Linked DNA regions of Cricetulus griseus. The protein of the gene in region 4 binds, or shares a complex with, the protein of the main gene of each other region. Links are inferred from orthologs where the notes say so. Each region holds a gene or a part of one and is shown on either strand. Other genes may lie near its edges.

The links.
Region 1: Ppp4r3a (region 4) and Ppp4r2 share a complex: the UniProt entries of both Homo sapiens proteins name them as parts of the PP4 complex. The link is inferred for Cricetulus griseus from reciprocal best matches to the Homo sapiens genes PPP4R3A and PPP4R2.
Region 2: Ppp4r3a (region 4) and Ppp4c share a complex: the UniProt entries of both Homo sapiens proteins name them as parts of the PP4 complex. The link is inferred for Cricetulus griseus from reciprocal best matches to the Homo sapiens genes PPP4R3A and PPP4C.
Region 3: Ppp4r3a (region 4) and Ppp4r1 share a complex: the UniProt entries of both Homo sapiens proteins name them as parts of the PP4 complex. The link is inferred for Cricetulus griseus from reciprocal best matches to the Homo sapiens genes PPP4R3A and PPP4R1.

What each region holds. Positions count from the first base shown.
Region 1 is NC_048601.1:43,106,651-43,113,643, reverse strand, and holds the end of Ppp4r2 (serine/threonine-protein phosphatase 4 regulatory subunit 2), read left to right. Parts: intron 1-1,102; coding exon 1,103-1,180; intron 1,181-1,446; coding exon 1,447-1,590; intron 1,591-2,286; coding exon 2,287-2,585; intron 2,586-2,768; coding exon 2,769-3,094; 3' UTR 3,095-5,023; downstream 5,024-6,993. UniProt on the Homo sapiens protein: Regulatory subunit of serine/threonine-protein phosphatase 4 (PP4). May regulate the activity of PPP4C at centrosomal microtubule organizing centers.
Region 2 is NC_048596.1:73,945,995-73,954,538, forward strand, and holds the start of Ppp4c (serine/threonine-protein phosphatase 4 catalytic subunit), read left to right. Parts: upstream 1-3,784; 5' UTR 3,785-3,937; intron 3,938-4,136; 5' UTR 4,137-4,200; coding exon 4,201-4,298; intron 4,299-6,181; coding exon 6,182-6,233; intron 6,234-6,840; coding exon 6,841-6,891; intron 6,892-7,061; coding exon 7,062-7,163; intron 7,164-7,653; coding exon 7,654-7,827; intron 7,828-7,921; coding exon 7,922-8,048; intron 8,049-8,544. Other genes in the region: Aldoa (fructose-bisphosphate aldolase A), read left to right, coding at 57-217, 510-593, 686-860, 994-1,193, 1,271-1,366. UniProt on the Homo sapiens protein: Protein phosphatase that is involved in many processes such as microtubule organization at centrosomes, maturation of spliceosomal snRNPs, apoptosis, DNA repair, tumor necrosis factor (TNF)-alpha signaling, activation of c-Jun N-terminal kinase MAPK8, regulation of histone acetylation, DNA damage checkpoint signaling, NF-kappa-B activation and cell migration.
Region 3 is NC_048595.1:454,768,140-454,776,052, forward strand, and holds part of Ppp4r1 (serine/threonine-protein phosphatase 4 regulatory subunit 1), read left to right. Parts: intron 1-823; coding exon 824-931; intron 932-1,244; coding exon 1,245-1,310; intron 1,311-1,858; coding exon 1,859-2,017; intron 2,018-3,143; coding exon 3,144-3,271; intron 3,272-7,229; coding exon 7,230-7,741; coding exon of another isoform or gene 7,742-7,747; intron 7,748-7,913. UniProt on the Homo sapiens protein: Regulatory subunit of serine/threonine-protein phosphatase 4. May play a role in regulation of cell division in renal glomeruli. The PPP4C-PPP4R1 PP4 complex may play a role in dephosphorylation and regulation of HDAC3.
Region 4 is NC_048598.1:104,695,621-104,703,533, forward strand, and holds part of Ppp4r3a (serine/threonine-protein phosphatase 4 regulatory subunit 3A), read left to right. Parts: intron 1-1,878; coding exon 1,879-1,956; intron 1,957-2,070; coding exon 2,071-2,187; intron 2,188-4,148; coding exon 4,149-4,304; intron 4,305-6,086; coding exon 6,087-6,218; intron 6,219-6,321; coding exon 6,322-6,424; intron 6,425-7,913. UniProt on the Homo sapiens protein: Regulatory subunit of serine/threonine-protein phosphatase 4. May regulate the activity of PPP4C at centrosomal microtubule organizing centers.

The DNA.
Region 1 (6,993 bases), on a different chromosome or scaffold from region 4:
TATACTTTTGGCCACCTAGATGTTTTTCTAGGGGTGGCAGGTAGGTTTGGAATAAGATATTTCATGGACAAGTATTACTAGTTGTCAGGATTTCTATACCAAATTTAGGACTTGGTTCCAGGCATCTGTTCAGCCATGGCACCATTAGTATTTAGGCCACATGTATAATTCTTTGTTGTGGGTGGGTGTCCTGGAGCATGTAAGTACACACATGAGCACACATGTGAGAGAAGGAGAGGAGACTGAGTACCCTGGGACATGTGAAGAGTGGGGAAAAGAGGCTGCTACTTCATAGATCCACTAGCTTAATCTTAAGTGCCATTTATTTCTTAGACAGTTTTGTTTTTAGAGTTCTTGACTTCATCTGTCTTGCTAAATTAGATACTGAGACAATCCCTTGATACTTCTTAGTAGAAAACCCAAAAAATTCAAATTGATTTCCTTTTGAATTGAATGTTTTGCTTTTTTGGTGAATATAAAGCTATCTGAAGAACATTCCAGGAGGTTCGAAAGCGAGTGTCATTGACTAATAGTTTTTTTTTTTTTTTTTTAAACACATACGTGCTAATTCCCCATTGTCTGTTTGAATTTGACAGCCCTGTTTCAAAATGACTTTTTTTTTTTTTTTTTAAAGACCCAGATTTTTCCTCTTTTAAAAATGTGGTTATTTTGCTTCCTATATGTGTTTTGGCTTGCCTGTATGGTGGATACCTTGTGCATGCCATAGACTTCAGAAGGGGGCACCAGCTCTTCGAGAATTGGAATTATGGATAATATGTGAGCCATTGTGTAGGTGCTGTGGGAACAGAACCCAGGTCCTCTAGAAGAGCAACCTGTGTGTTGAGCCATTTTTCCTGTCCTACAACCAAATTATTTACCAAAATTAAAGGAGTGAGCCATTCATAACCCCTCCCTCCTTCTTGCCCTCCCTTTATTGCTTTATTTCTTTTGTTTTGGGACAAGATCTCACTCTGGCCCTGGCTGTCCTGGAACTTGCTATATAATGCCTGCTGGCCTTGAACTCACAGAGTTCTGCTTGTCCCCCCCCCCCCTTTGTAATTAAAGTCATCATGCCCAGCTGAAGTGTTTTCTTTTATTACAGGAAGAACAACAGTTCTAATAGTTTAAATCGAATGAATGGTGTTATGTTTCCTGGAAACTCACCAAACTATACTGACAGGTGAGAATTTATTTTTTTTTTAAACTATACAGAATGTCCAAGTTTTCTGGTAGGTTTGAGTTAGCAGGTTCATTATACTCTTTTTAAATTGAACATGTTACAGGGAAGATACAAGATCTTGTATAACCTACCTAACATTGTAGGTTATACCAGCCTACATTTGCTTATCATGGCATCTGAAGGCCAAAATTAGAGCAAATACTTGTGATGTGTACTTTGGAATTTTTTCTAAAAATGGAAAATAACGTTCATTTATCTCATTATAGGTCTAATATAAATGGGCCTGGAACACCCAGGCCACTTAATCGACCAAAACTTTCTTTGTCAGCCCCCTTGACAACAAATGGTTTACCTGAGAGCACAGATAGCAAAGAGTCAGATCTGCAGCCAAGTGAAGAGAAAGCCCACAGGTTTGTATGTTTCACATTTAAAGAGAAGAGAAAGAAGTGCATAGAAATTTAATGTCTGTTAGTGGATTTTAGCACTATTTACAATTCACAAGGTACATGGACTGTCTGTATTTGTGGGTTCCGTCTCTGGGTTTGGTAGATTCAACCAGTAAAGGATCAAAATCAAAAGTAACTAGGAAAACAATTGCTTTTGTATTGGCCAGGTATAGACTTTGTCCCCCGTGCACATAGTGTTTATTTACTTGAATTAGGTATTCTGTCACCTAGCAGTGATTTAAATTATAAGGGAGGCTGTGTGCAAATACTGTACCTTTTATATATGGACTTCGAGGTCTTCAGATTTTGGTCCTGGAACTTCCATGGGTCCTGTGGGGTGACCCGTTTACTGTTCTGAGGGAAAGAACAGGCCTTAATGTGGCTGGCTGGGCTATGACTACTATGTCAGTACAGCTAGAGATGAATGTAGACAAGATTTTCTAGAATTTCCCAGAAAGGTAGAACTAGCCAAGTCAGTTCCAGTGGGAACATCCATGAAATGGTTCAGATTGCTTTTCGATGATTGTTCTGTGTTTTTCTCGGCACCAGTAGTTGTGTTTAATTTGATGGTGCAGTTTGTTAAGTATTTAAACTTACAGATGGGCATGTAGAGTATGACGAAAATAATTTTATTAATAACACTTTAAAAACCATCGGCAGTGACTCTCCAGCATCTGAACCAGAAGTTTCCTCACTGAGCCCTGTTAAAAATAAACATCCGGATGAAGATACTGTGGAGGCTGAGGGGCATGAGGTGAAAAGACTGCGCTTTGACATAGAAGACGAAGACCAAGAGACAGTTAGCCACACGGTGTCCAGTGAAGGCTCAGCTGGCACTGAGGAAGCTGAAGCAGCATCTTCCCCTCCGGAGAAGGACAGGGAAAGTCAAAGCAGGCAGCACTGTACAGACGAGGAGGAGGAGGAGGACGAGGAGGAGGAGGAAGAAGAGGAGGAAGAAGGTGAGAGGAGAGTTCCCGTGAGTACATTCAGTGGTGCTCCTCACAGTGCTGGTGTTGGGCTCTTGTCCTACCTGTGTGTGGTTGCCAAGTTTGAGTAGATACGATCTGTAGATAACAGTGTACGAAACTCAATTGGATGTGTTTGGAAAATAAAATTTAATTCCAGCTTTTGCTTATTTCTAGAATCTTTTATGACACCGAGAGAAATGGTCTCAGAGAAAAAAAATCAAGAAAAAGAATCTGATGACGCCTTAGCTGTGAATGAAGAGCCTTCAGAGGAGGGTACGCACATGGAGGACTCTGATGGGTCTCCAGCTCAGAGAGATCCTCACTCGGAACGGAGTGACATTGCAGGGGCTGTGAGTAGTGGTTCTGACTGCCCTGAGACAGAAGAGCCAGGAGGGACCACTTCCAGGAAAACGGGAGAAAGTGTCTCCGTGTCATCCATGGAAAATGATGAAACCACAGAAATGACAGATGAACCAATGGAACAAGACTTAACTACTTAGAAACATTTAGAGGCAGTATTTTACATACAGTTCTGGTTTTACACTGTATAAAACTTTTAAGTAATAAAGTGGACCTTTAGTTTTACAAGAGAAACAGGCTGTAAAATAAACTTAAGAATAAACCCTGAAAGAGTTGTGCGTCGAAGAGCTGTGAATACCGGCTCCTCTGGGTCCTGGTTATTGCTGATTTTCTTGTTTTGTTTGGGTTTTTGTTTGTTTTTTTCCTGGTGTACTCAAATCAGTGGTTTGTGTATAGATTTTTTTTTTAATTTTAGAATTAAAGTTTTTAAACTGGAAGATAATTATAATTTTGAAAACTTTTTAAAGATGATCACATTTGGTTTATACATACACAAGGGAGATTTTTGTCTTGTCTCTAGCGGTTTCCATATTTCAGTCATAGTTTGAACATGTTAACATGTGAATTATAGGGTTTCATGTGGTTTCAGATTTTATTGTTCAACTGTCCAATGGAAGTTTAAGTCATATATACATATATAGATTATTCTAAGGGGGATGTTATATTTTTCTGTTTCTATAAGAGATGACTACAGTGGATACTTTTTTATTGGTAATGACTGAGTTCACTTCCTTCAGAAGATACTTTGTTTCTCTTCTGAGTAATTTAGATAAAATCTGGCCCTGGAAAACCCTGGGAATCTTTAAGTCTATTCAAATACCAGGTTAAACACATTCCAACAGATCTGTGCAAACTAAAATTCTTTTGTATACTTCTAAGGTGCCTGAGGGGGAAAAAAAAACTTCATTATTTATGAGAAAATGTGCTTTATCTTGGGATTTGCGTAGGAGCTTTAGCTCACTGTTTGGTAGAAGGAGTGCTTAGGAGACTGACAGGAAACCATCTCAGAAGAGCCTGCAGGTCCCCTAACGTTTCACTTGCTTTTCTGAACATTGTGAACATCACACCTTTGTTTCTGAGTTATCCTGTATGCACATGGCACTGGTGTGAAAGAGCACTGTACTGGAAGAATAAGTAGATTACTTCAGTAATGTACCTGAGCTTTAGGGGTACACAGACCACCATGATTTGTACAACATTTTGAAGTGAATTAATATTTTTGAACATGCTTCTTAGACAGCCAGTGTTATATTTTTCAGATCAACACAAAGCACAATGGTTACTACTCTAAATATTTTCAAATTCACATATTTAAAGTCATGCAAGCTGCAACTTCCCTGTCAAAATTACTGGCTGCCAAATTTATACCTGTTTCTTCAGCTGTACCTTTTGATATTTAGAATTTTTAAATTTCTGTAAAGTAGATTTTGTAGACTGTAATGTGTTCACTGCCTTTGTGAAGCGGTATAATTGTATAATTTCGTGTGTAAACTGAATGCTTGGGCTTTCAATACAGTATTCATATAAAGCAATAAATATTAATGTTATGAAATATTCGAGTACATTTTTATCAAAATACAAAAGAATCCCTTTTTTTAGTTTCAGACACCTGAGGTACACAGATGGACTTATAGTAGGTGATGCAAACAGCATCTCACACTGTATCATAAGCTTTGGGGGATTTGGAGGGGAACCACAAAGTTTGCATTTTGACTACTTAATTGCTATGACTAAAAATACAAGATATTTGGCTCCATTTGTTCATAGAGTAATATACTACTGACTGATGACCTTCAGGTTCACAGCAGCCAGACAATATATGAGTCTAATAAAATTGAACGTTGATTTACTGTACCCAAGACGGGTGAAAATCAAATGTAATTTTTTAAAAAAAATTGGCAAAATGTTAAAATGAAGCAAATTTTGGATGTGACATTCATATGTAGTGGACCTGTTACTCTATTTTGTTGAGGGATTGCTAGTGAGAGCAGGTTTTAAACATTTTAGGTTTAGAAACAGGTTTTCCTTAGGATATTTATGAGATTGTTGTCAATAAACCTGTTCTCTAAGCTCCTGTGACCTTTGATAGTCTTTATTTGTGGTGCCATGGACCATTTGTAAACAAATCAGTTTGCTGCTGGTTAAAAGTTGAAGATTTAGCATCATGAATGGTGGTCTGTGGTTTTATTTGTAAACTTGCAATTGCTATCTTTGCAAGGGAAAATGTATTTCTTTATTAAATAAAGTACAATAATGGTGAATGTACCAAAATGACATCACTCAATTCTATGAGAGGTCTGCATTTTAATCTGTAGTTTAATAGTTTTAATATTTATTAGCTATTCCTATGTTGATCATAGATGAAAGTTTGTGCTGTTTATACAGATACATGTAGGATACTGGTGGAAGGTTTCTAGGGCAGCTGCAATACTCATCACATTGTGAAACCATGCTCAACAGGCTGTAAATGCCTTGCCCCCTTGGAAGCCCATTTCCACAGTATGGTTAGGTGCACTTACCACAGACGTTGTGCAAAGAAAGCATCATTTCTAACATGAACTGAGTCATATGTAGGTTTAAAAGGCAAGTTTTAGGCACATTTCCTTAATGTACCCAGCATAGTTCTATGAGAAGATCCAGGAGAATCAAGACTTGGATGACTGACGTAGCTGGCCCTCTGATTCTTACCTGTTTCTCCATTCCCAGCCCTGACATGCAATAGGGTGATGCTGATGAGAAAACAGTATACATGTGACTTGTTTTTGCTATTTCCCCCTTTTAAAAGGTGAACCTTTTTGAAAAATGTGCTTTCAGCTCTGAGAATGTGGCAGAACAGAAATGAATAGTGAGAATATATTTTGAGTGTTGATTAAGTTTAATCCACTTACTGTTTGTCACAACTACAGCCTTGCCCATGTGTGGTCAGAGCATTGGAGTTAGTCAGGGAGCTGTAACTTGTGGCTTTGGAAACCTATCCCAGAAGTCTTGGGTTGGAAAGTCTGGCTGGCCTGTTAGAGCATTGAGGTCCCAGTGTTTTATTTTGACAGTGTAGATAGGCATGTATTTATGCATTTGTAAAATCAATTTTTCAAATAATGTATGTAATGTACTAGTTTACTTAACGGTACTTGGGCAGAGCCTAAAGCTGCTGCGATGTTTGAATGTGAAAACTGTAATGAGAGGACGGGAAATGTACCTGCAGAGCCAAAGCAAATTATTTTGAGTAGTGTTTCAAATTGTCTTTTTGAGCAGGAGTTTCTTACAAAATGAAGGTCAGTTCTTGAGTTTTGTGCTAATCATGAGATGAATGGATGCAAAAAAGACCTTGTAATTTCATATGGAATTATGAAAATTAGTTTGACTGGGTTGTTGGCCTAACAAGGATGCTAGTATGTATTGGCTAGAGTACATATATTTCACATTTAAAAAATAATCCGGACACCAGAATTCTCTATTTCAACCTGGAGCCTAGATCACTTTGCCAAATAAATGTATTATTTTCATAATGCAATAAAATGTAAAATAGAAGAATGTCTTCATGTGTGGAATTACTTTATTTACTATTCTAGCACACCTGCCTCTCCCCATTTTCCCTCAGTTGAGGGTCAGCAGGGAGGAAGCTTAATGCTTGACCTAAGTGAGGGTGCCAGCAGGGAGAATGCAGAGTTGCATGGACAGTGGGGGTCTTGCTAGGCGTGTGCAGATTCTCTGTTGGCATGACTTGGAGATAGTTTACATGCATTGATATGTGTGTTGGTAATCATTTGAGAAACCCCACCTTGAGGCACCTGCATGGTAAGTGATTGTCTGGAGAGGGGGTTTACAGTTCCTTTGTGGCTTTACACAAAGTGTTATGGATAGGATGTGTGAGTCAGGGTTTCCTGCTTCTCATTCCTGGTCGACCTTGTGACTAGTCTCCATTAAAAGTTAGCTGCTAAGTGATGCAGCCAGTACGGAATCGAGGACTAGTAATTTAAGTGGAGTTAAGTGTACTAGCAGGAACCGGTCGTTCTCTGGCTACTTTCCTGTGTAAGGTGAA
Region 2 (8,544 bases), on a different chromosome or scaffold from region 4:
AGCTCTAGCATGAGGAGAATCTCAAACCTGCCCCTCTTTACTCTGTCCCTCTTCAGGACTGGATGGGCTGTCTGAACGATGTGCCCAGTACAAGAAGGATGGAGCTGACTTTGCCAAGTGGCGTTGTGTGCTAAAGATTGGGGAACATACTCCCTCAGCCCTTGCCATCATGGAAAATGCCAATGTTCTGGCCCGTTATGCCAGCATCTGCCAGCAGGTGGGACTGAACTACATGGGCTAGCTTTCTGTCCATCTGCCAGGATATCTACCTCCTCCAGAGCAACTGTTAATAGATACCTACCAAGCATCAGGCTTGCTGGTGGAGGCCACTCTGCAAAGCAGTGATGGGAATTGGCATGAAGGGGGAATTGTTTGTCCCCTGTAATCTGCTGAGGCCTTTGAAGCCTTGATTCACTATCCTCAAGATAAGATCTTGGCTAATGATGGTGGAGAGCTGTAGGTGGGGTTCCCAGTCAGGAGTCCTCACACTACCCTTTACCTCCCCACAGAATGGCATTGTACCCATTGTGGAGCCCGAAATCCTCCCTGATGGGGACCATGACTTAAAGCGCTGTCAGTATGTAACTGAGAAGGTAGGTTGCCTGTCTTTCTAGCCAGGGTAATGTGGTGGGCAGGGTTCCACTCAGGTGGTCCTTGTCCTTCATCTCACCTTGCCCTGTTCCAGGTACTGGCTGCTGTCTACAAGGCTCTGAGTGACCACCATGTCTATCTGGAAGGCACACTGTTGAAGCCCAACATGGTCACCCCAGGCCATGCCTGTACCCAGAAATTTTCCAATGAGGAGATTGCCATGGCAACTGTCACAGCACTTCGTCGCACAGTGCCCCCTGCTGTTACTGGTGAGGCCCACTCCCTTGGCTTGCTGGAGTGGATACACCATCACTTTGGCCTCTCCGGGTAGCTTTTGGCGGCTACTCCCTGCATCTATCTCTTAACGAAGGCCACCTCTTTCCTTCTGCCCTTGTTCTCTAGGGGTCACTTTCCTGTCTGGAGGGCAGAGTGAGGAAGAGGCATCCATCAACCTCAATGCTATCAACAAGTGCCCACTGCTGAAGCCATGGGCCTTGACTTTCTCTTATGGCCGAGCCCTGCAGGCCTCTGCTCTGAAGGCCTGGGGTGGGAAGAAGGAGAATCTGAAGGCTGCCCAGGAGGAGTACATCAAGCGAGCCCTGGTAAAGCATCATGAAAGGGGGGGTGTGAGCAAGTGGAGGGGACTTGGCTCTCACCTGATTTCTCTCTTCCCTTTTAGGCCAACAGCCTCGCTTGTCAAGGAAAGTATACCCCAAGTGGTCAGTCTGGAGCTGCAGCCAGTGAATCTCTCTTCATCTCTAATCATGCCTACTAACCAGAGGTGATCTAAGGCTGGCTGCCCCATCAACACTCCAGGCCCCTGCCTACCCACTTGTGTTCAAGAGGGGGCCTTCAGGCTCTTTCCCATCACTCTTGCCCTCGTGACTGGTGTGTGGTGTTGTCTCTGAATGCTAATTCTGCCATCCCATCCAGCCCACTGCCAATAAACAGCTATTTAAGGGGGGAGTCTGTTGTCCATGTCTTATAGGGGATACGGGAGGCCTGAGGAGAGAGCCTTATTTTGGGTTCTTCCTTTCTGGGTAGTTAAAAGGATGCAATAAGGCTTTGTTGATCTGTATACTTTTGAGGAAGGCTGAGTATTGTGAAATGCTCTAACCACATCTAATTGAAAGGGAGTGATCTGCTGGAGTTATAGGCATAGGGCACTGAGCCTATTTGGCTGGGAGCCAAGCCTGGGTTTTGTGAATGCTAGGCAAGGACTCTGCCACTGAGCGACACCCCTCTCTCTCATTCCTAATTTAGGCTTTGTTATCTTGCCCAAGATGAAACTTTCTTGGTGGGAACAAAGCATTTAATAAACGTAGCTATTTTCCCATTGCAACAGGAAATGGAATTACCAATGGCTTTTTAGGAGCCTTTGAAGACTCAATCTTCTCCCACGCAGATATAGGTACACACAGAACTCAGGTACACAACTGCAGAATTCAGGTTTCGGGTTAAGGACAGAGCAGAACAAGGCCCCCCCCCCCCCACCAAACTATGGACTACCCAATGTTGAGTGTTGCCTGAATGTTTGCGTACAATGTGTGCCTGATGTCCTTGGATCCCAGAAAAGGGTATCAGATCCCTTGGAACTGGAGTTATGGTTGAGAGCCACCATGTCGGTGCTAGGAATTGAACATGGGCCTCCTGGAAGAGCAAAAGGTACTCAAAAGTGTTCAGCCCCATCATACCTCTAGTAATTTAAAGTTGTTGAAGATTATAGGTATAAACGGGGACTTGTTTTAGTCTTAACCATTTAGTTTTCTGTGGTTTCTGTAACCTTCCTGGTCTGAATCTTTTCTGTTCTATTTCCCTTTCAAAATATTTTTCCTTTTCACACTTTTCTATGCACAGAATAGTCTTTGGAGTATCAAAAGTCTGCTGTCCACATCTTTCTATGTATGGCCTATAGCCCAGTGGTTGAACACTTGCCTGTCATCCATCTGGTTCTAATTTAATTCTGGGAAACAATCTTTCTGTTTGGGATCTCTCTCCTATCCCTCCCCCCCCAGGGTTTCTCTATGTAGCTCTGGCTGTCTATAGACCAGGGTGGCCTCAAACTCAAGAGATCCACTTGCCTCTGCCAGGATAAGGTGTGGGCCACCATCCCTTGGCTTCTAGAAAACACATAAATAAAAACATGTTCAAAATTGAGGGATGGTAAAAGACATTCCAAAGGGGAGTATGATGTTCAAAAGTGTAAATTAGGAAGATTAAAAATCAGGCTACTCCATCAAAAGATTAAGGAATCAGAAGACTTTCAATGTGAATTTGGAGAGTGTTAGGTCTTTTTTGTATTGCTCTGAGTTTCAGAAAGTAAATGAAAGATGAGAACCACTTTTCCTGGGTTCACATTTGATCCTTGGTTCAAACACCAAATTTTTAGCTTTTCAATTTAGCAATTTAACCTGAGCCACCAACACCCTGAAGGAGTATGATCAGACAATAGGAAGTAATGTTGGGTGTGATTGTGTAACACCTGTAATCATAGCACTTGGGAGGCCCAGATGAGATTTGCTGTGTGTTAAGGTCAACTGCAAATTTTGGGCCATCCTGAGTTACAATGCGACCCTGTCAAGAAATAGATAATAGACTATTCTGGAATTAGGGAATCTTAGAAACAAGCTTGATGTGGGGAGAGTAGGTACTTTTTTTTTTTTTTTTCCAATTAGACCCCCTGTGGGTCTTGGAGATCCAATTTAAGTCAGTTAGGCTTGGTGACAGGCAGTCCTTGGTGTCAAATATGCTATTTTGGTGGGTTTTGGTTTTGTTTTTCCGAGCGGTTACTATGTAGCTATGAGACCCTCAAATCCTCGGTCCAGCCTCAGCCCCCTGAATGCTGGGATTACAAATAAATGTGCCACATACCTGGCCCAGGTTCTGAGTTCCCATGGCAAAGGCCCATGGCAAGATACTTGGCTAGGGTTGGCCCATTCATTTTGGACTATACATGTCTGCAATGCTTAGCCTTATTCTAAACACTGGGAAAGCAACGATGAACTGAGCAGTTCACTTCTCAGATCTGTAGTAGGAGCAGGACAGAAAGTCAGCAAGAGAAAGTGCAATGTGAGATGACAAGCTTACCAGAGCTCACGTCATTTGGCGTACATAACTGACGCAGAGATGCTTGCCTACCAGACCCGGTCGCCCGCCCACTTCCGACTCTTTAGTTCCTCCCGTGCGCCGCGAGAGGGGCGTGATCGGTATATGTCACTTCCGGCGCGCGACCGATCTGGCCTCCCTTTGCTTCCGCGGCGAGGCCGGAAGTAGAAGCGACGGTGGCGGAGGCCCAAAGCGGAGGGAAGTGGGGAGTCGGAGAGACCCAGCCGGAGTCCTAGCGGCGGTAATTGTCCGAGGCCCCTCTAGGCCACCGTCCTTAGCGCGGGCCCGCGGGGTTCGACGGGAGTTGGCGGGGTGCGGCCAGGGCATCGGGACGCCGAGGGTCCTGGACCGCCGTGAGGGGAGGGGGGGGCGGTCCTAGAATCGAGTCCCCCCTCCCGCACGGACCCTCTGATTGGCGGGCTCGCCTTCGCCTTTCCCAGGAGACCCCTGTGCGGTCCGGAGGGGGCGGCGGCCCCGACTCTGACCCGCGCCGGGGGGTGGGCCATGGCGGAAATCAGCGACCTGGACCGGCAGATCGAGCAACTGCGGCGCTGCGAGCTCATCAAAGAGAGCGAAGTCAAGGCCCTCTGCGCGAAGGCCAGGTGAGCCCGCAGGTCCGCAGGAGAGAGGCCGGCCCGTCGCCCACGGGTTTCCGGCTGGGCACACTCAGCTGAGAACTTAGGGCTTGTCCCATCCCGGAAGCATTCCCGGAGAGGAGCGGTCCCGAGGGCCACTTCTCCCCAGGAACCACGGGTCGGCTGTAGATACGTTTCTAGTGGAGTCAGAGTGAGTGGCAAAAAGTTCTTAGGAAAGTTAGGAAACCCGGCCTGCTCTACTGGGGCGAAAGAGAAAGTTTCTTGGAGAGCTTGAGTTCTGGGACCGACCTTGAAGAATAAGCAGGTTCAAGAAAACAAACAAACAAGAAACCTCGTGGTTTGTAAAAGTCTATCAGTCCTTAAAGATTAGGTGGTTTTGTGCTCACTTTAACAAGCAAGGGCTATAATGGTTCAGAATTGCCAGCAAGGAGGAATGGGATCTGAAGCTGGTTCTCTGAGTGCTGATCCTTTAAGTTGTGATTCAAGAAGTAGTTGGGTCACTCTCATGTTCCGTTGGGATCCTAAGGAAAACACAGTAAACTAGAGTAGAACATAATGAGTTCCTTCCACACCAGCTTGGTTTACTGAGTGAGGATGTTCAGTAAAATGGTTGTGAATATTCATTCAGTGAATCTCGGCTTGAAGCATGGTGTTTGGGTAAGTCATGAAGTGGTAATATTTATGGTGGGAAGGGCACACTAATGGTGTATTTGTGGATTGACGCTCTTGGGCTTCTAAAAGAGGGTAGTCCTTGAAAGATAAACTCTAGCTGAGGAAACACAGGGACAAGGAACCTTCAAGCAGGGTAGAAGTAAAAGGGAAATATGTAGGCAACAGTTAAGGCTTGTTACCTGCCTTTTCTGGGAACTGTCTCAGTGTGGCTTCTACCCTGTTTAATAGAACAGTATCATAGTTCTTACCCTTCCCCTCCAATCCTTCGAGGCAGGAGGGAGAGGTGTGCGAGTGTGCGATCGAGGGTATCTGTGTGTCTGTGTTTCCTCCCATGTAGCCCTAGCTGGCCTTGAACTAGGCTGGTCTTGAACTCAAAGCAATCAGTGTGCGCTGGGAATCTCGGAATATGCCTGCCCCAGTGCTGGCTGCCCCATGGCACCAGCCCTAACAAACCTTCCGTGCTGCGTTGGCCTGTGTGTGAGCTGCAGTGTTTATGCTACACTTGCCAAGCTTGGGTTTAGAAATGGAGGACTGCTGAGATTGGACATCAGGAACTACCAAAGGGATTTTGAGAAGTAGTCACACTACAAGAACTAGAGCCAATTCCATAAGCTGTGTGTTCATGGTGTGCTGTACAGTCCTTTAATTCCAGCACACAGGAGGAAGAGACAGGCAGATCTCTTGAGCTTGAGACTAGCTCGGCCTAAACATCAAGTTCCATTCTAGCCAGGGATACAGAATGAGATCCCGTCTCCAAAAATAAATAAGATTTATTGTTTACAAGGAAGGAGCAGCACAACCCTTTGAAAAAGTGTATCCGATTGGTAGGGAGTGAGGTCAGAACTCAGCCTAGGGACAGTCAGTGCTCTAAGAGAAAAGGACAACCCTCCCAGAGTGTGTGCTGTACTTTTGAGAAGGAACCACAGGGTGAATCAAGGCTGGATATGCCCCAGCCTGCTTGGAAGGGCTTGAATAGGAGTTGGGGTGGAAGTGAGAAATTGGACTTTGTCCAGTTGGCAGCAGGAAGCCATGAGCAGGTATTGAGTGGTAGAGGGCCATGGTCAGTGCTTTCTGACCAGATTCATGGGGAAGTGCATACTTCCTTCTGTCCCCTGGAGGTTCAAGGACTACCTCATGTCCTCCCTCCCTCCAAAAAAGGTCAGGAATTGGGCTGGGCTGGCCTGGCTGTGGTGACCCTGGTCTTCTCCTGTCTCCAGAGAGATCTTGGTAGAAGAGAGCAACGTGCAGAGGGTGGACTCGCCAGTCACAGTGAGTACTCTGTCTCTTGGACCCTGACTTGGTCTTTTAAGACACATGGAAATCCTAAGTGGTGTAACAGCCCCCCACCTCTAAGTTAATGAGAGGCTAGAACACCCCAGGTATCTTGCTTCTCAATCATCTGGTGAGCCCTGATGCAAGAATTAGATAGTGGCACAGATCTTGTAATTTAGTGATGGAATGTTTCCCCAGTATATATGAGGTCTTGAGTTGTGTTCTATGTGCCACAAGAAAATAAAAGATGCTGTAGGAATTTTGGTTTGTCCTGGTGACGCTCGCAGCCAAGGCAGAAGAAGTTTGTGGATCAATAGCCCTGTTAGTAACTGTGCTGAGCACATAGAGGCAAATGGATGAAGCCAGTCTTCCTGAAGCTGCAAGTCTGCCTGCAAAGACTCTTCTGCACCATAGCAGTTGGCTTTTGGTGTGATAGATGACACCAGAACAGGCTCACTTGGGTTAGAGAGGGAATTTGGGTCCTGAGATGGGGTGGTGTCACCCTGGCTGGCCTGGAAAGTAACATGTGTTTTGAAGGATGGTGTCTGGGAATAGAGGGACTGTGCCTTTGTCCACTCTTTCAACCCACATTCTTTCTTTCCAGGTATGTGGTGACATTCATGGACAATTCTATGACCTCAAGGAGCTTTTCAGAGTGAGTGGGGGGATACTGGGACTTTGAACCTAGGGTGACAGAAAGCCATGATCATTGATAGGTCTTAGGCTGCATGGTCTGTGGGTGAGAGAAGGGGCTCAGCTAGACTCTGGTTGCTGTAGCCAGAGAGGATAGTTTGGGGCCAAGCAGAGTCGTATCCCTCCTCCCAGGTAGGTGGCGATGTCCCTGAGACCAACTACCTCTTCATGGGAGACTTTGTGGACCGTGGTTTCTACAGTGTTGAAACCTTCCTCCTCCTGCTGGCTCTTAAGGTGAGGACTCTTGGCCCCTGGAGCCTGAGCTTTGGCCACTACTTGCTGCCCTCATCACCTTTCCTGTCACCTACCTTGGAACTTTGCTGTGGCTGTGGACTGTGTGCTTAGCGGGGCTAGTCAGGACTGCTGCCATGAGTGGGGCCATCTCCTGAGCCCTTACAGAAGAGGCTGGTGATGTGAGTTTTGGAAAGCAGGCAGAGGCTGTGTGTTCAGGGAGCAGCAGGAGTTAAGTGAACTGGGAGAAGTCATAGTGAAGGGCCACATGGGGTGAGTGTGGGGTGCTAAGGACAAGAGCCAGAGTCTGGCAGTAGCTTCTGGAAAAGGCTCTCAGGAGCTTGTGAGGCAGGGACACCATGATTTATGTAAGAGACTGCGGGAGTCTGGGCCAGGCAGAGGACTGAGTGAGGCTAATGGATGTCTTGGAGACTTGGGATGGTTAAGTGGGAGGTAGAGACTAGAACCAGTTCTTGCTTGGTGCTACCCCTAGGTTCGATATCCTGACCGCATCACTTTGATCCGGGGCAATCATGAGAGCCGCCAGATCACCCAGGTCTATGGCTTCTATGATGAATGCTTGCGCAAATATGGTTCAGTGACTGTATGGCGCTACTGCACTGAGATCTTTGACTACCTCAGCCTGTCTGCCATCATTGATGGCAAGGTAGGTTGGCCCTGGATCTCCTGGGGGGAGGGGGAGGCTGTGCTGGGTCTCTGGGCTTTTAGTTCCTTCTCTCTGGTATCATTCTCCCTTCTAGATCTTCTGTGTGCATGGGGGCCTCTCCCCTTCCATCCAGACCCTGGACCAGATCCGGACAATTGACCGAAAGCAAGAGGTACCCCATGATGGACCCATGTGTGACCTCTTGTGGTCTGACCCTGAAGGTGAGGGCAATACCTGAGCTGGCTCTCCGTGTGTCTTGTGAAGACTGGATTAAGCAAGTGTATGAAGGGAAGTCAGGCAGGGAAGAGGAGGGCAAGTTTGGCCTGTACTGGCTTCTGCCTTCTCCTTGTGTGACTGGATCCTCCTCAAGGAGCAGAAAGCATGAATGGTGGTGCACTGAGGCCTACTGTGGGTTGGCTCATGAGTTTCATGGCTTAGAGGGTCTGTTCAGGATGAAACCCTTGGCTCCCTGGGGGGAAGAGGTCATAGACCTTGACAGTAGCTTCTTTGGAGGTGAGACCCATTCCCTTAGAACGAAGACCTCTGACGGTTCCTAATTTTGTGTGGTTCCCCTCTAGTTAGGGGCGGAACTGAGGTTTAAAGCCTGGCTTTCTGAGTACCAGTCCTAAGCATACTCTCTAATTCCACCACTGTTACTGCAGTCTGCGTCATGTGGCATAAGGTGACCTTACTGCCAGGAAAGTGGTTGGTCATGGC
Region 3 (7,913 bases), on a different chromosome or scaffold from region 4:
AAATATTGGTTATATTAAGGTGAGCCTATCATAAAAACACGATTGTAATGTGCAGCACTGGTAGGAAGCCTGTGGTCCCCCCACCCTCATCTGGTTTGTGTTTGTTTTATGAAAAAAGATGAGTAGACAGAGCTTCAGATTTTCAACTGTGCTTCCGTGAAACACAAAGCTGGGTGAAGTCAGCTGAAGCTGGGGTTGTTGGTAGGTGAACCCGCAGGTCAGTTAATGAGAATGGCCAGGCTACAGCCTGTGAACATGATGGACCTTGGGACTCTTGTTGAAGTATTTGACTGTACAGTTATGTTTGTAGTTTCTGTTAGCTTTCCTATTTTAACATTATAGATGATGTGTATTTTAAGCTTTCCAGGTCATCGTTAATTTATAGAAATATAATCCTTTCTTATTCTGTAGATACCATGCAACTTTTTAAAATCTACTTATTTATTCTGGTGGCTTTTTTTGTAGATTCATTGGAGTTTTCTGTGTAGACAGTCTTGCCATACAAGACTAAAGAGTTTCTTTCCAGCCGGGCATTGGTGGTGCACGCCTTTAATCCCAGCACTCAGGAGGCAGAGGCAGGCAGATCTCTGAGTTCGAGGTCAGCCTGGTCTACAGAACGAGTTCCAGGACAGACAGGGGTGTTACACAGAGAAACCCTGTCTTGAAAAAAAACCCAAAAAGAAAAAAGGATGGGATTTCTTTTTTTTTCTAGATTTAGAATATTTTCTGTGTATTGGGCTAGTACATACTTCTTTAAATTATTAAATTTAACTGAAAAGGCCTTAGATGTTTTCAATGTGAATTTCTTTCTCACTTATTCCAGATAATGTGCAAGATGGCTCCTATGGTTGGGAAGGATATTACAGAGCGTCTCATTCTCCCCAGGTTTTGTGAGATGTGCTGTGACTGTAGGATGTTCCACGTTCGGAAGGTGTGTTTGCATCTAGTTTTGGTCTTTGTGTTTAAGAGTACATGGTGGGCGTTGGTGTTGCACGCCTTTAATCCCAGCACTTGGGAGGCAGAGGCAGGCGGATCTCTTTGAGTTCGTGGCCAGCATGGCCTGCAGACAGAGTGAGTGCCAGGATAGGCTCCAAAGCTACACAGAAACACTGTCTCGAAAAACAAAACAAAACAAAACAAAACAAAAAAAAAGAATGCATGGTGCTCTGATAGTGAAATTTAGTAGATTGTTTTTAAGGAACTCTGTATGTGATATTGAAATGTTAGTAATGGTTTTGTTACAGGTATGTGCTGCCAATTTTGGAGATATTTGCAGTGTAGTTGGCCAGCAAGCCACAGAGGAAATGTTGGTAAGTGTCCCAGATAGTGAAGAATAAACGCTGTATTACAGAGTAGTAGAGATTATTAACATGGCCCCATGACTCCAAACCAGAATGATGCTTACAAGTTTAGTATTTTAAATGTCTTCAAGGCGGCATTTGGAATGTATGTTGATAAGGATGGTTGGTTGAAAATTAAAATCCATGTGAGAAACACTGATAGACTTTAGCTTCCCCATTTCTGCCTAGTAAATCAATTGACTCAGCTGAGTCTTCAGTCTTACTTGTATACTCACATTGGCACTTAGACCTCATGGCAGCCTCAGTCGTTACATTGTAGCATGTGTGTACCCCGTGTACAAGTTCCTTCATCAAAAGGAGCGCAGGTGTGAGCTCTTGGGCAACGCCAAGTGTGTGCATTGGTGCTTTTGCACTTCTAGAGCGAATTATAAGTGGATGTAATTTATTAAAATTTTCTGATTACCATCATTAAATACATTTTCTACTTTTTAAGAATATCCAGCATTTAAAACAGAGACTAGAAGGTAACTGGTGACCTTGTGTTTGTGCTCACATAGCTGCCCAGGTTTTTCCAGCTGTGCTCTGATAACGTCTGGGGAGTGCGAAAGGCCTGTGCTGAGTGCTTCATGGCTGTCTCCTGCGCCACCTGCCAGGAGATCCGACGGACAAAGTTGTCGGCGCTCTTCATTAACTTGATCAGCGACCCTTCACGTTGGGTAACATTGAGTCTGTTTCAAACTAAGTGTGATTTTTTTTTTTTAAGAAATTTGTTTTTAATTTTTTTCTCTTGTGTCTATGGGTGTTTTGCCTACATGTAGGTATGTGCACCCTGTGTGTCTGGGGCCCATGGAGGCCAGAAGAGGGTGTCAGATCCCCAGGACAGGAGTTACAGGCAGGTGTGAGCTGCCACGTGGGTGCTGGGAACTGAACCTAGGTCCTTTGGAAGAACAGTCAGTGCTTTTAAACCACTGAGCCCTCTCTCTAACCCCATGAAATTGAAGAAATAATTTTAGAATGTCAGGTGGTGGTGCACACATTTAATCCCAGCATTTGGGAGGCAGAGGCAGGTGGCTCTCTGAATTTGAGGCTAGCCTGGTCTACAGAGTGAGTTCCAGGACAGCCAGGGCTAAATAGAAGGTTACTAAAGGTTGTCTTTTTGGTACTTGGAAATTTTTTGTTTTATTTTGTTTTTGTAAATACAAGTCATATTGACTTGATGTTTAACACTCACTGGCTTTGTCTTTTTCTTAATTTCTTTTTTTTAATATGTAGTTTTACCAGGCACTGAAGGTCTACACCTTTAATCTCAGTAGTCAAGAGATAGAGGCAGGTAGTTAGAGACCAGCCAGGTCTACATAATTAGTTCTAGGCCAGCCAGAGGTACATGGTGAGAGCCTTTGTCATTCTTGAGTAAGTGTGTCTGTCCGAGTGTGCCCTTGCGGCAGAAGTGGGGTTAGAGCCTCTAAATCTAGAGTCATCTTTATAGCTGTCAGTTTCTCCTCATTGAAAGACTGAGTGTACTTCTGTTGGACAGTCTCAGTTCTCATCACTTGTTTTCAGAGCTTACAAGAAGGGTTTGTAAGGGTCTGTTTTGTTCTGTGTATTATAGTCTGTAGCACTCAGGCTCCTATTGTTAGAATAGCCAAGTCAGAAGAAAAACTGAAAGTTAAAGAAAAAAATTATAAAGCTTTTTAAATCCCAAGGAAAGATGGATTCAGGGTTCTCTGACAGGGCTTTCCTATGGTCCTGTACTTTGGTGTGTGCAGAGTAGTCACTCTCTGTGTGTGCATTGTTATTTCATTTGTCTTTTATTGTTTTCTTGTTGTCCTCATTTCTCCTTAGGTACGCCAAGCAGCCTTTCAGTCTTTGGGGCCTTTCATATCTACGTTTGCTAATCCATCTAGCTCAGGCCAGTGTTTCAAAGATGAGGGCAAAAATTCAGAAGATTTACCAGCAGAAGAGAAAAACAGGTATAATATCAAACAAAGCTTTGTATTCCACTTGTACTATTTGCAAACGGCATTCTCACTATTTTACCCAAATATTTTTTAGTTAGTACATGTTTTAAAGTTACTTTTTTAAATATATGAGTGACACATTCGGTAGTTTCTGGTATTTAATGGTGATTTGCCTAGGAACCTGTTGTTGTTCAGCACACAGGCTTATACATTTATTAAATACTTTCTAAACTTTGTTTCTAATACCTACTTTAATATGTTTGCTTTTATTTATAGTTCACTCTGACTCTTATTTTTCTTTATAGTCAATTAATTTAATGTGGGTCTTGGATTCTCTGTCTATAAAATGATCATTGTAATATTAATAATTGGTCCTAAATTAATGTGCTTATTAAATAAAAGCATAACTTAAAGATAACCAAAATTGTAATAAAGGTTGGAAATCTTATTGTAAGATTTCTGCATTCAGGAATTGTAATTGGCACTTAGTTCTATGGTTTATTGGTTACACATTCAGAGAACTACTTGGGTCCGACAGTGCAGGGGACGTGCGTAAGCGTCTGCGGACATGTTCTTGAACAGCCCCTTGCCTTGGTGCTAATGCCCACTTTCTTCTGTAGGTCTTGATACTGTGGTATTTGCTTTCTTGGTGTTTTGATTTGACAGTCCTTCCTTTCTCCTCTGCTGCCTTGTTTTACCTTTTTGCCTGTTCTCCTACTGTCCTGCCAAACACATCTGAGGTACTGTTTTTTTGTAAAGGAAGACAATGGCATCTGACTTGGTCTCTCTAGCAAGCTCGGGCTTGGTGCTTTTGGGAACCGCTGCTGGAAGGGATGTTATAAAAATGGTGGGGTGGGGTGGGGTGGGTGTCGCCTGCTTTTCATTTCTGAACTCAGCTTACATTTTTTTTTTAATAATCATTTATTTACATTTATTTTTAATGATCAATTTAAGTATACTGAAGATGGCATATAGCTTGGTCTTAAATGTGGAAAGGGTCTGACGAGTGAGTGTGTAAATATATAGACAGGGATGTGTATAAGACAGCAGGGACCACTCCCCGTAGATGCAGATAGTCAGCCTTTTCATTCTCGGTCATGGCGCTAGGCTCTGCTCGCCTTGCTGTGCTTGGGTGGCATGTTATTAATAAGAGCAGTTGCTGGGCTGTGGAGTTGTGCTTGATGGCTAGAGGGATGTCGCTGGAGAACAGCTATTTAGCAGTAGTTTGCCGTCTTGATTGGCTTTGCACTGTAATACCAGCTGTGTCTTGGTATCAAGTCTGAATTATTTGTAGCCCTGGACTTTACAGTTGTCATTGAATTGTTAACGACTTAGGAAGGGAAAGGAAACTCCTGAGCAGGGAAGGGCATGCTTTAAAAATGCAATAAAAGCTTGTGCAACACTTGTACGTCTAGTCGGGCATGGCCACCTAGAACCAGAGGTTTGATCGCTTTGCCTTAAATTTAAGCACTGCTGTGTTTCCAAACCACTATGAAAGCGGAGAACCCAGGATGAACTAGAATTTGGTTTCTGTTCTCAGGTTTTCAGTTCCCTAGGATTCATATTTCTCAGTGTCAGACTAAGTAAGGGATTTTTGTATTTTTTTAATGATGTGTATGTTCCCCCCATGTGTGTGTGTGTGTGTGTGTGTGTGTGTGTGTGTGTGTGCCCGCCCGCCCGCTTGTGTGCAAGCCACCCACTGTGGCTGCTGAGACCCAAACTTGTGTCCTAAACAAGAGCATTGAGTCTTAATGGCTAAGCCATCTCTCCAGCCCCTGGAGTAAAGTTTTGCCTCTAGGTTTTTCCGTCTTTTTATTTTGTGTGTAATGTTTTATCTGAAACATGTACTGTCACTTAGCATTTTTATAAAGATTTATTGGTTATAGACATCTTGTCTTTATCAGACCTGCTGGCTATTAGTACCTCTTTCTTTGAAGATGGTACATACAGAGACCGAGTAAAATAATGAGGTCTGGGCTGTAGCTCAGTGATGGAGCCATGGCCTAGAATGTGCCCTGGATTGGATTCCTATCAGAACAAAAGTAATTTTGAAAAGTGGACACTGCTGTATTTGTTGAAACAGTTGCATTGTTTCTGGCTGCTTACTGTTGTGGGTGCACCCTGTTCCTTGTGCTCACCCTGCCTTTATTTTGCCGCCCGCCCTCTGTTGGGAAGCAGGTTCATTTCGTGTGTATTGTCTGTTAACAAAATAGTTGTCAGTGTGTCCACTGTCCACACCCACACCCCCAGAATCATAGCCTATGTGACAGGCTGTCTACAGTCGCATCATCCTTTGTATAGCACACAGGGTAAGTTCAGAAGCAAGTGGCTGAGGTGCAGTGGTCAGCCACTTGTTCCTTCCTCTTAGCTCCAGAGCATCCAGTAGTGCTCTCATTTTGCTGTCTCTCATGGCAGCACTTGCCTTTATGTTGCTTTTTCTTCTTGAATGTTTTTCTTCCATTTACCCCATAAACACTTGCTGGTTGACCTGCAGTTTCCTCTAAGACCTTGGTTCCCACTCCTTTTGCACCCTCTGCTTGATGCTCAGGCCCTCCACTTGGGACCACACCCTCCTCTTGGGGATGGAGTAGACATTTCTTCCTGTATATGTAGTTTGACTGTCCTGAAACCCACTCTGTAGACTAGGCTGACCTGGAACTCACAGAGATCCTACTGCCTCTCACTTCCTTTCTCGGGACTAATGGTGTAAGCCAGCACTCCCAGCTGCATTTTAATTGTCACGATGGTGATTTGCTTTTGTAGTTTATTGTTTGTTTACCTGTAATTATAATCTCAGGAGTAGGTGCTACAACATATACTCAGTTTTCAGGGTTTTGGTGAGGATTTTTGGTTTTATTTTTAGCTGTTGTTGTAGGGCCTGGCTGCTTTCAAATTCTTGATCTCCAGCCCAGCCTTTCAAGGGCAGGGTTTACAGGTGTGAACCACAACTGCTTATTTCCTTTTGTTTATTATTATTTGTGTATGCTAAAGATTGTGTACGTGCGTGCCTAAAAGCCAGAGGCCAATTCAGGCATCTTTCAGTTGTTTTCCACCCTGTTTTTTGAGACAGGGTCTCCCATTGAACCTGGAACTTGACACTTGACAATTCAGCTGTGCTAGGAGACCAGCAGGCCCCAGAGAGCTCTTGTTTTCGTCTGCTGGCACTGGAATTATAGGTGTGCATCAGTGCTGGGCGACTCAACTTGGGCCTTCACATTTGCACAGCAGACACTTTACCTAACTCTGCAAACCAAATCCTGAACCCTGGTTTATTCCCGGGTCCTCATAGGTGCCCAACAACTACTCACTGATAAAGGACAGGGGGACGGAAGTCGTGAAACTGAAGGCTGTAGTTGGGGGGACAGATGGCAGCAGCCTGTTCACTAGGAGCTTGTGCTGCTTTTCCTTATCTGTTATATCTTGATTTCCTTCTGGAAAAAAACCTGTTTTTGAAGTAGGATAGGAGATGAAGAAATAAAAATAACCCTTTATTTACACTTAAGTAGATTTTAATATATTTTTATAAAATAGTTAATAGGTATTTTCTCTACTGCCCTATAGAGTTTTTTTCTTATTCCTCTTTTATAAGCAAAAATGGTTTTGATTCTTAGCTTTCACTGTGTCATTGAACAGTGGCAATACAAACAATCCCCAAATAAATAGTTTGTACGTATCTTAGAATCCACTTCTTCCTGCTGTTACTGATATTCCAGTAGTTTGCAGCACCCCAGGATTCTTAAGTGTCACTTTCTCCTGCTCTTGATAATGCTTGCCTGCTGAGATAAGTTTGACAGGTGTTTACATGTCTGAATACAGGACCATCAATGGGAAGACCATTTGGTCCCTGTGGGTGATGGATCCTCTGAAACACTTAGCGAGTCTAAATGCTGTGTGTCCTGCTTTCCACTAGTTTTTCCCAGTAACTATTTTGTGTGCTTCCATGTTTCTTTTCTCCCTAAATGAATCAAAGGCTCAAAGATCACTATGCTGCCGAAGAGGAGCAGATGGGGACAGAGGATGCTCCCGCAGACTTTAGTGCCAGCCTGGAGAGCACACGGGAAGACTGTGCCGCCAAGACTTCTGGGAACTCAGCAGGTGACATAAGTGTCCCAGAGGACAGCTCCTCACTCTGTACTTTGTCCTCAGAGTCTCATCAGGAAGCAGCTAGCGATGAGAATGATAAAAAGCCTGATAACTGCAAGTCTGCAATCCGGTCAGAGGTTGGCACCAGCTCCCCAGATTCCACTCCTTTAGATCAGGAATTGTTCAACTCCTTCTATTTCTGGAGGACTCCTCTACCTGAAATAGATCTTGATAAAGAGCTCCAGCAGGACTCTGGGGAGAGACTCAGCCCAGAGAACACAGGAGATGCACCCGGAGTCCCTGAACCAGCTTCTCCTAATATCACCATGGCTACCCGGAAGGAATTAGAAGAAATGATAGAGAACCTAGAGCCACACATGGATGACCCAGACGTTAAAGGTATGGGTGAGTCCATTATGTTCTTTCTTTACTCCAAAGGTGATCTTAAAAATGTACTAACTCATAAGCGGATACCAGACATAAAGCAAAAGATACCCAGCCTACAATCCACAACCCCAGAGAAGCTCTTCCAGAAACAGATGGAAGCAGATGCAGAAATCCACAACTAACC
Region 4 (7,913 bases):
ATGTGTCCTTGTTTGTCCCTGTTTCCAACCCCACTCAGTGGGTGCTGATGGTGTATAAACACTGAGCTTTGTCTCCAGCCCCTAAGTTATATTTTCCCTACCAACCCTTTACATGTACACATACAAAATTACACACTCTAATTGACTAGTTCCTCTGTAATACTATTAAATGCTCTGATACTAATCTGGGATGTATGTTGAAATTGGATGCCATTAGTTTTGAAAAAAAGAAGACAACGTCAGAATCATGTATTTATACATTTTCAGAAAAAATAATTGAGTGTTGTATAGAAATGTTTCCTACCGTAGTGAAAATGAAACTTACTACATAGGACCTGCAAGATGGCTCAATGCTAGAAGAAGAGAACCAACTTCCAGAAAGTTATTTTTTGGCCTTCATATGTGTTCTATGGCACAGTGCTCCCCTCATTCCTAATATATAGATAAATGTAATTTCTTAAAAACTTACACTGTAGTCTGCATGAATTTACACTTTAACTGGAGTAGTATTGAATGTACTCCTACCTAAGCAAATAGATTTAAATTATGAGCTAAATCTTGATGAGAAATTGTAATGAAGAAGGTTCCCTGGGTACCAGAGAGGATCTATATTACTTGCCCAAAATAATAAATGTTCTGTAATAGAATCCTTTGGGGCCTTTTCAAAATTAATGTCATAAATATTTGGGGGGGGTGTGGTTTTGAGACAGGGTTTCCCTGTGGGTTTGGAGGCTGTCCTGGAACTAGCTCTTGTAGACCAGGCTGGTCTCGAACTCAAAGAGATCCACCTGCCTCTGCCTCCTGAGTGCTGGGATTAAAGGCGTGCACCACCACTGCCAGTAATGTCATAAATATTATAAATTTAAATAATTATCTCAAAAAAATTTAGTGTGTTAATGAGTATAATTAAAGATTTATTATGTATATAACATTCTGCCTCCATGTATGCCTGCACACCAGAAGAGGGCACCAGATCTCATTATGGGTGACTGTTAGCCACCATGTGGTTGCCGGAAATTGAACTCATGACCTCTGGAAAAGCTGTCAGTGCTCTTAACCTCTGAGCCACCTCTCTAGCCCTAGATAATTCTTCATGATCTCTAATTTTAACATTTTAAAAATCATTTTCTATATATTTAAAGCCCAAAGAATGTTTCATTTTTATCCTTACTGGAGAGAGGTTGTAGAACCTTAATTTCTGCCATTAGCTTGTGCAATGAATTGGCAAACACTGGCTACATTTATGTGTTTTTTGTTTGACTCTTTAAGAGACTGGATCTCACTGCTGCTCATGTTGTCCCCTAACTTTCTATCCTTCTCCCTCTACCTCCCCATTGGTGTAATTTTAAGAATTTGGCACTAGGCCAGATTTGCTGTGCTTGTGTTTATTAAGTTTCATGGTGACACAGCTATAATCAGTCTGACTTGCAGTAGTAGTGAATGAGAAACCACTGGCTTGCAGGGTATGAAACACTTTCTTCCTGGCTCTAAAGCAGGAAAAGCGTTTTGTCAAAACACAAAGGTAATCTTTCTGATAGAAGTCTCCAGTTTGTCTTTGTTTTGTTTTAAGACAAGGTCTTACTTACTATGTAGACCCAGCTGGTCTGGAATTCATAGAGATCCACCTGCCTCTGCCTTCCTAGTGCTGGGCAGAAAGATGTGTGCCCCTAACATTTGGCTGTGTATACATACATACATACATACACACACACACACACACACACACACACACACACACACACACATACATCTTTTAATAGATGACTTTTTCCTTTTTAAAAAAATGACATCTTTTATCAAGCTAGTTTATAGCATGCTGAAATTGTATTTTATATAGTCTTGCCAGCAAGATAATTAAATTTATCATTTATTTCATAGGAAGATGAAAAATTTCTGACAGATTTGTTTGCACAACTGACAGATGAAGCAACAGATGAGGAAAAAAGACAAGAATTGGTAAGAAATCATACACTAGAAGGGTAGAGAAGTGGAATAGCCATTTACACTCAATTGATTCTCTTCTAATTTAAGATTGACCTTTTTAATACTTGTCCTTTTTCCTGATTTCAGGTTAATTTTTTAAAAGAATTTTGTGCATTTTCTCAAACGCTACAACCCCAAAACAGAGATGCTTTTTTCAAGACTTTGTCAAATATGGGCATATTACCAGCTTTAGAAGTCATCCTTGTAAGTTTGCTTCTCTACATTCTGAACTGCCCAGGTGAACCATATCAAAAACTGGATGTGATATTGGAGAGTTTTATTATTTGAAATTATAAAATTGTATCACTTTTCCCTTTCCTCCTTCCCAGGCACCTGCTTGTGTTCTCTCTCTCTCTGTAACTCTAAGTTAATGGCCTCTCTTTCTTTAATTATTAACATATATATCTAAGTACATAAATACAGAAGTTTTTATGAAGTAGGCAAAGCATTTGAGTATAGCTGATATTTAGTGCTAGCTGTGTAGCATAGAGTTAACAGAAATGATACAAGTCCAGTATTAGAGTCCTCCTTTGTTTAACTAGCAAACTGCTTTTGTTAAAATAATTTTTTGCTGGATGTGGTGGTAATACACATTTAATCCCAGGTAGAGTTGGGGAAATTTATGTGAGTTTGAAGTAGCCTGTTATACAAAGGATTCCAGGACTTTGAGAGCTATACAATTAGACCTTGTTGTACATACATATGAACATACATATAATAATGTAATCACATCTTTAATAATTAGCTTTATAGCCTATCAAATGAAATGTTAAAATAAAAGGACATGGTTGAGAATAGTGATTCATGCCTTTAATCCAAGCACTTCTGGTCTCTTTGTGTAGTCACCCAGGACTACACAAAGAAATTAGATCTTGAAAAATCATACATTACACAGACAATTATATACATATTTATAATTCCAGCACTAGAGAGGCAGAGGAAGGACAATGGGTCTCTGAGTTTGAGACCAACCTGTTCTACGGAGTGAGTTCCAGGACTACACAGAGAAGCCCTGTCACCAAAAAAAAAAAAAAAAGGTTTTAAATATATCTTGAGGATGGGGAATGGTGCCGCCACTAAAAATGGTACCTATGCAAGCCTGATGACTAAAATTTAATCCCCGAAACCCATGTCAGAAGCAGAAGCTGGATGTGGGGTGGGTGGGTATGTGGGGGGGAGGGAGGGAGGGGAGAATATGATCCCAGAACACACAGTAAGGTAGGATTCTGAGGCAGATCTGTCCAGAAACTTACAAGACAGCTAGCCTTGAGTATGCAGCACTGCAACAGATCCAAGGAAGACCTTGGCTCCTCCTAAGATTTGTCCTTTGACATTGCTATGTATGCTGCCTACTTGGGTATCAATCCGTGCTTCCTTCCATTCAGTTTGAGAGAGGGTCTCTTGCCTTTTGTTGTTATATACTGCATGCTAGCTAGGTTAGTTGCTTTCATGGAGTCCCCTGTCTTCACCTCTAATCTTACCATAGAAGCACTGGGGCTACAAATGTGGACACTGTCATCCCTGGCTTTGCATGGGTTCTTGGGATTTGAACTCGGGTTTTTAGGCTTTCTTGGTAACTGCTCTATCCAGTGAGCAATCTCCCTAGCCCTTAGATAAATTTTTACAATTCTGACCATTTCATACAGTGTGTTGTGATCATGGTCTCCCATCCTCTTTTTCATTCCTTTCCACTTTAGCTGATCCCTCTCTTTGTCCTAAAGCATCCCTACTTTCCGTTTTGTTTTTTTTTAAACAGGGTCTCTGTATAGCACTGACTGTCTTGGAACTCAATTCTGTAGACCAGGCTGGACTGAAACTCAGAGATACACCTCCCTCTGTCTCCAAAGTGCCAGGATTAAAGGTGTGGGCCACCACTGACTGGCTCTCATTCCTATCTTACTTTCATGTCTTTGTTTTGTTTTTTGGGACCCAGTGGTTTTAATTAGGGTTGCTTATATAAGTGAATGTGGATAAGGAGTTGTTTGCTAGAGCATCAACTTACCAGTGGCTACACCACCAGGAAAGTGGTTCCCCCTACCAATCATTTAGATGTTTGTTTTATGGTCTGGTGCTTTGTGACAATTTCTTTTGTCAGGTTTTGGATAATTTTGTTGATAAAGTTCATGTTTTTATAATTGTAAGAGAATGGCACTTTTTCTATGCAGGGCATGGATGATACACAGGTGCGAAGTGCTGCTACTGATATATTCTCATACTTGGTTGAATATAATCCATCCATGGTACGAGAGTTTGTCATGCAGGAGGCACAACAGAATGATGATGTAAGTAAGAAGTTAACAGAGCAAAAAATAACCAGCAAGGTAAATATTATTTACACTAATAGTAAGTATTTATGCATAGAAGACTATAGCTGGGGTTATGTATTTTTAAGATTTAAACTGCTGCTATTTGGGAAGTGTAGCCATAGTGTTAGGTGGCTCATTTGTCCCCTTAATTTGCTCCTGCCTTAGTTTATAAATTTATTGTATTTGATGTCAACTTTTAAATTATGAAGCTGACTTGTCTATATTGTCTTATTTAAACCCTTAAATCAGTTGACCATTCTGTTTGTGGAACTGTAAGTAACTTTCACTGGAAAGCATTTAGACTACTAGAGGTGGAGCCTCAGAATCAAGAAAAAATATGGCCCTGAAATGTATTAGGGAAGTGTTTCTTTATAATAATAAAAATAAGTTATTTTCTTGTACTCTCATATAAGCTATGGTGGTATTTACTCAGAAATTAGAATAGGTAAATTGGCTTTAAAATCTGTTAGCCTGTCTTGGCAGTGTAGATTGAATTTGGTGGGACATAGTGTATGTAGAAGCCCTGGATGTGTATGAGCTTTTCTACTTCACTCTACTAAACCAGTAGTTCTGTTTTTTCTCCTTCCTCCCAAATTTTACTTAAGAACAGATTCAAACCGTCTCAATTTCCTTGAGAAGAGGAAATTTATGTCTCCTTTTAGGGGAGGGGAGTTTGCAGAATTTCAGCTTGCAGTGTTTCTTGCAAAATGAAGCATAACATTTTTAAAAATCTACTATTCCACCAGTTTGAAGTTGAATGCCTAGTAATTTCTATTTGTGGTTCCTTCTTAAAATTATAGTGGTAGACTACGTGCAGAAATGTACCATGAATTATTGAATCATGATCACATTTTTCTTCTATGAAATAGTCCTATCTTGAGAACCAGACTATCTTGAGTAATTAAAGCTAAAGGCTGTTCTCTTAGGCCCTGTAACCACTGGGTGAGCAGACATGCCGGCCTGTGCATCTTCACACCCCACGAACATGCATTAGGCCTCTGGATTTCAGTTACCAATCATTTCCATATAGTGTCTGCATTTTCTTTGTCCTTGTCTGTCTTACCACTGCATACATAGGCAAGCAGAAGGAGTTTGCTCATTGTATCCTTCAGTTTTTATTAATCCTCTGGGCCAAGAACACCATCCCTAAAGGTCCTTGGGAAAAGCATAAATTGTTTTCTCTGACATTTGTAATCTACATTATATACTACTGTTCTGGGCACTCCAGTCTCACTATACCCAATTTATCATTTCCACAAATGGAAAACTGCTATTGTGTCAAAAAGAAAAGAAAATTAAGAAGCAATGAAAGCAAAGCAGTTTTATAAATTCTGACTATAAGTATTCTTATTTTGAACCACGAATGTAAAGTCCATGAGCTTTCTGCAGAGAATAAAGTTATTAGAGAAACAAAACATGTTTTAACACCAAACCTGGCTTTTGTGATCCTATTGTTTTCTTTAATCAGATAAGTTCAAAGATAATAGAAAAAGCCAGAAGTAGTGGCACATGTCTTTAATCCCAGCGCTTGGGAGACAGAGGCAGGCAGATCTCTGAGTTGGCAAGATGGACAGTCTCTTAGTTCTAGGGCACCCTGGAGAAAAAAATAATGGGAAAATAAACTTAATTTTTTTGGTCCTATTAAAGTCTTTGTATCATCTGTTAGGACAAAGAAACACTCCCATCTATCGTGTTAAATAGTCACTACTTTGTTTGAAGTTAACAAGATGGCTAGTGTTAGCTGTAATGCTATAATATGTGTCTTAGTAATTATATTATGTGTATTTTTATCACCAGGATATTTTGCTCATCAACCTCATTATAGAACATATGATTTGTGATACAGATCCTGAGCTTGGAGGAGCAGTCCAACTTATGGGCCTGCTTCGAACTTTAGTTGACCCAGAGAACATGCTAGCCACTGCCAATGTAAGCCATGGCTATTTCTTCTTGTTCATAGCAGTATGTTTTCTATTGCTGGTAGGAACCAATACAGTTAATAAAGTTCATCGAAGTATTTTTGATTCCTTAGAAAACAGAAAAGACTGAATTTCTGGGTTTCTTCTACAAGCACTGTATGCATGTTCTCACTGCTCCCTTACTAGCAAATACAACAGAAGACAAGCCTAGTAAAGGTAAGATAACTCAGGTTCGTAGCTTTCTTGAATTGTCAAACTCAAAAACTGATGTTGAGTACAGTTTAGATTTAAGGCATTGGGGCTGAAGAGATAACTCAACAGTTCAGAGCACCGGCTGCTCTTCCAGAGGACACACACTGCTGCTAACAGTCTACAGACTCCAGTCATTACCACCCTCTTCTGACCTCCATGGGCACTGTACGTGCATGGTGCAGGCAAAAGAAAAACTAATGTACATACAATAAAAAATAAATTAAGTCTATAAAGAAAGGAACAGAAGCAGGAGCAACAGGATATACCCTAAGAAGGAAGTAACCATCTCTAATAGATTGGGTGAGATTTTATCGTGTGTTTTCAAGAGATTTTTAAGATGAAATTTGTGTAAAAGTACTATAATCACAGCTAACAAAAATACACCAAAAAAAGTAGCTGTTGTTTTCATTTCAGGTTTTGTTTGTTTGTGTGTTTGTTTAAGAGATCTCTCTATGGAACCCATGTTGGCCTCAAACTTACAATCTTCCTATTTCAACCTCCTCAATACTGGGGTCACAGATGTGTGACAAACTATTACAGCTTATTCCTTAGGGCTTACACTTAAGTGTATGTTTAAAGGGTAGCTTTAGAGTTACTATTAGGAAATTGCTGTTGGAGCTATATCCAGAAATCCATATATATTTTCCCTTATAATTCACAATATAGGGGCTGGAGAGATGGCTCAGAGGTTGAGAGCACTGCTGCTTTTCCAGAAGTCCTGAGTTCAAGTGCCAGTTACCACATTTGGCTTACAACCCTCTAATAAGATCTGGTGCTACCTGCTTCTGGCCTCAAGGCATACAGACAGACAGAACACTGTATACATAATAAATTAAGAAACAAACAAATAAATAAATCTTTTAAAAGAAAGAAGTAAAGATGCCTTGGTCATGGTGGGCCCACACACACACACACACACAAATCACAGTGTAGTATGTTGTTTGGTTTGGGGTGGTTTTTTTTGTTTTTTGTTTGTTTTGTTTTTCGAAACAGGGTTTCTCTGTGTAGCTTTGGAGCCTATCCTGGAACTCACTCTGCAGACCACGATGGCATCGAACTCAGAGATCCACCTGCCTCTGCCTCCGAGTGCTGGGATTAAAGGCGTGCGCCACCAACGTCCCGCTCAGTGTAGTATGTTTAAATCATACTCTATTACTAGTATTATTCATGGCATTAATAGATGTACTATTGTGAAAAATAAATGTTTATTTTTACTTTTTCCCCCCTTGAGACATGGTTTCGTTACATGGTGCTGTCCTCACTATGTAGACCAGGCTGGCCTTGAACATCCGTGGGCCTCTGTCTCCCAAGTGCTGGGATTAAAGGTGTGTTTCTGTATCCAGCACAGATAAACTCTTGTGTGACCCTAGAAATCAAATTTTGAAATGACATTTTGCTTTTTTCTATATTTGTATTTGGTAAAAATTTGAGGTCTGTTTCCAAATTCACACTT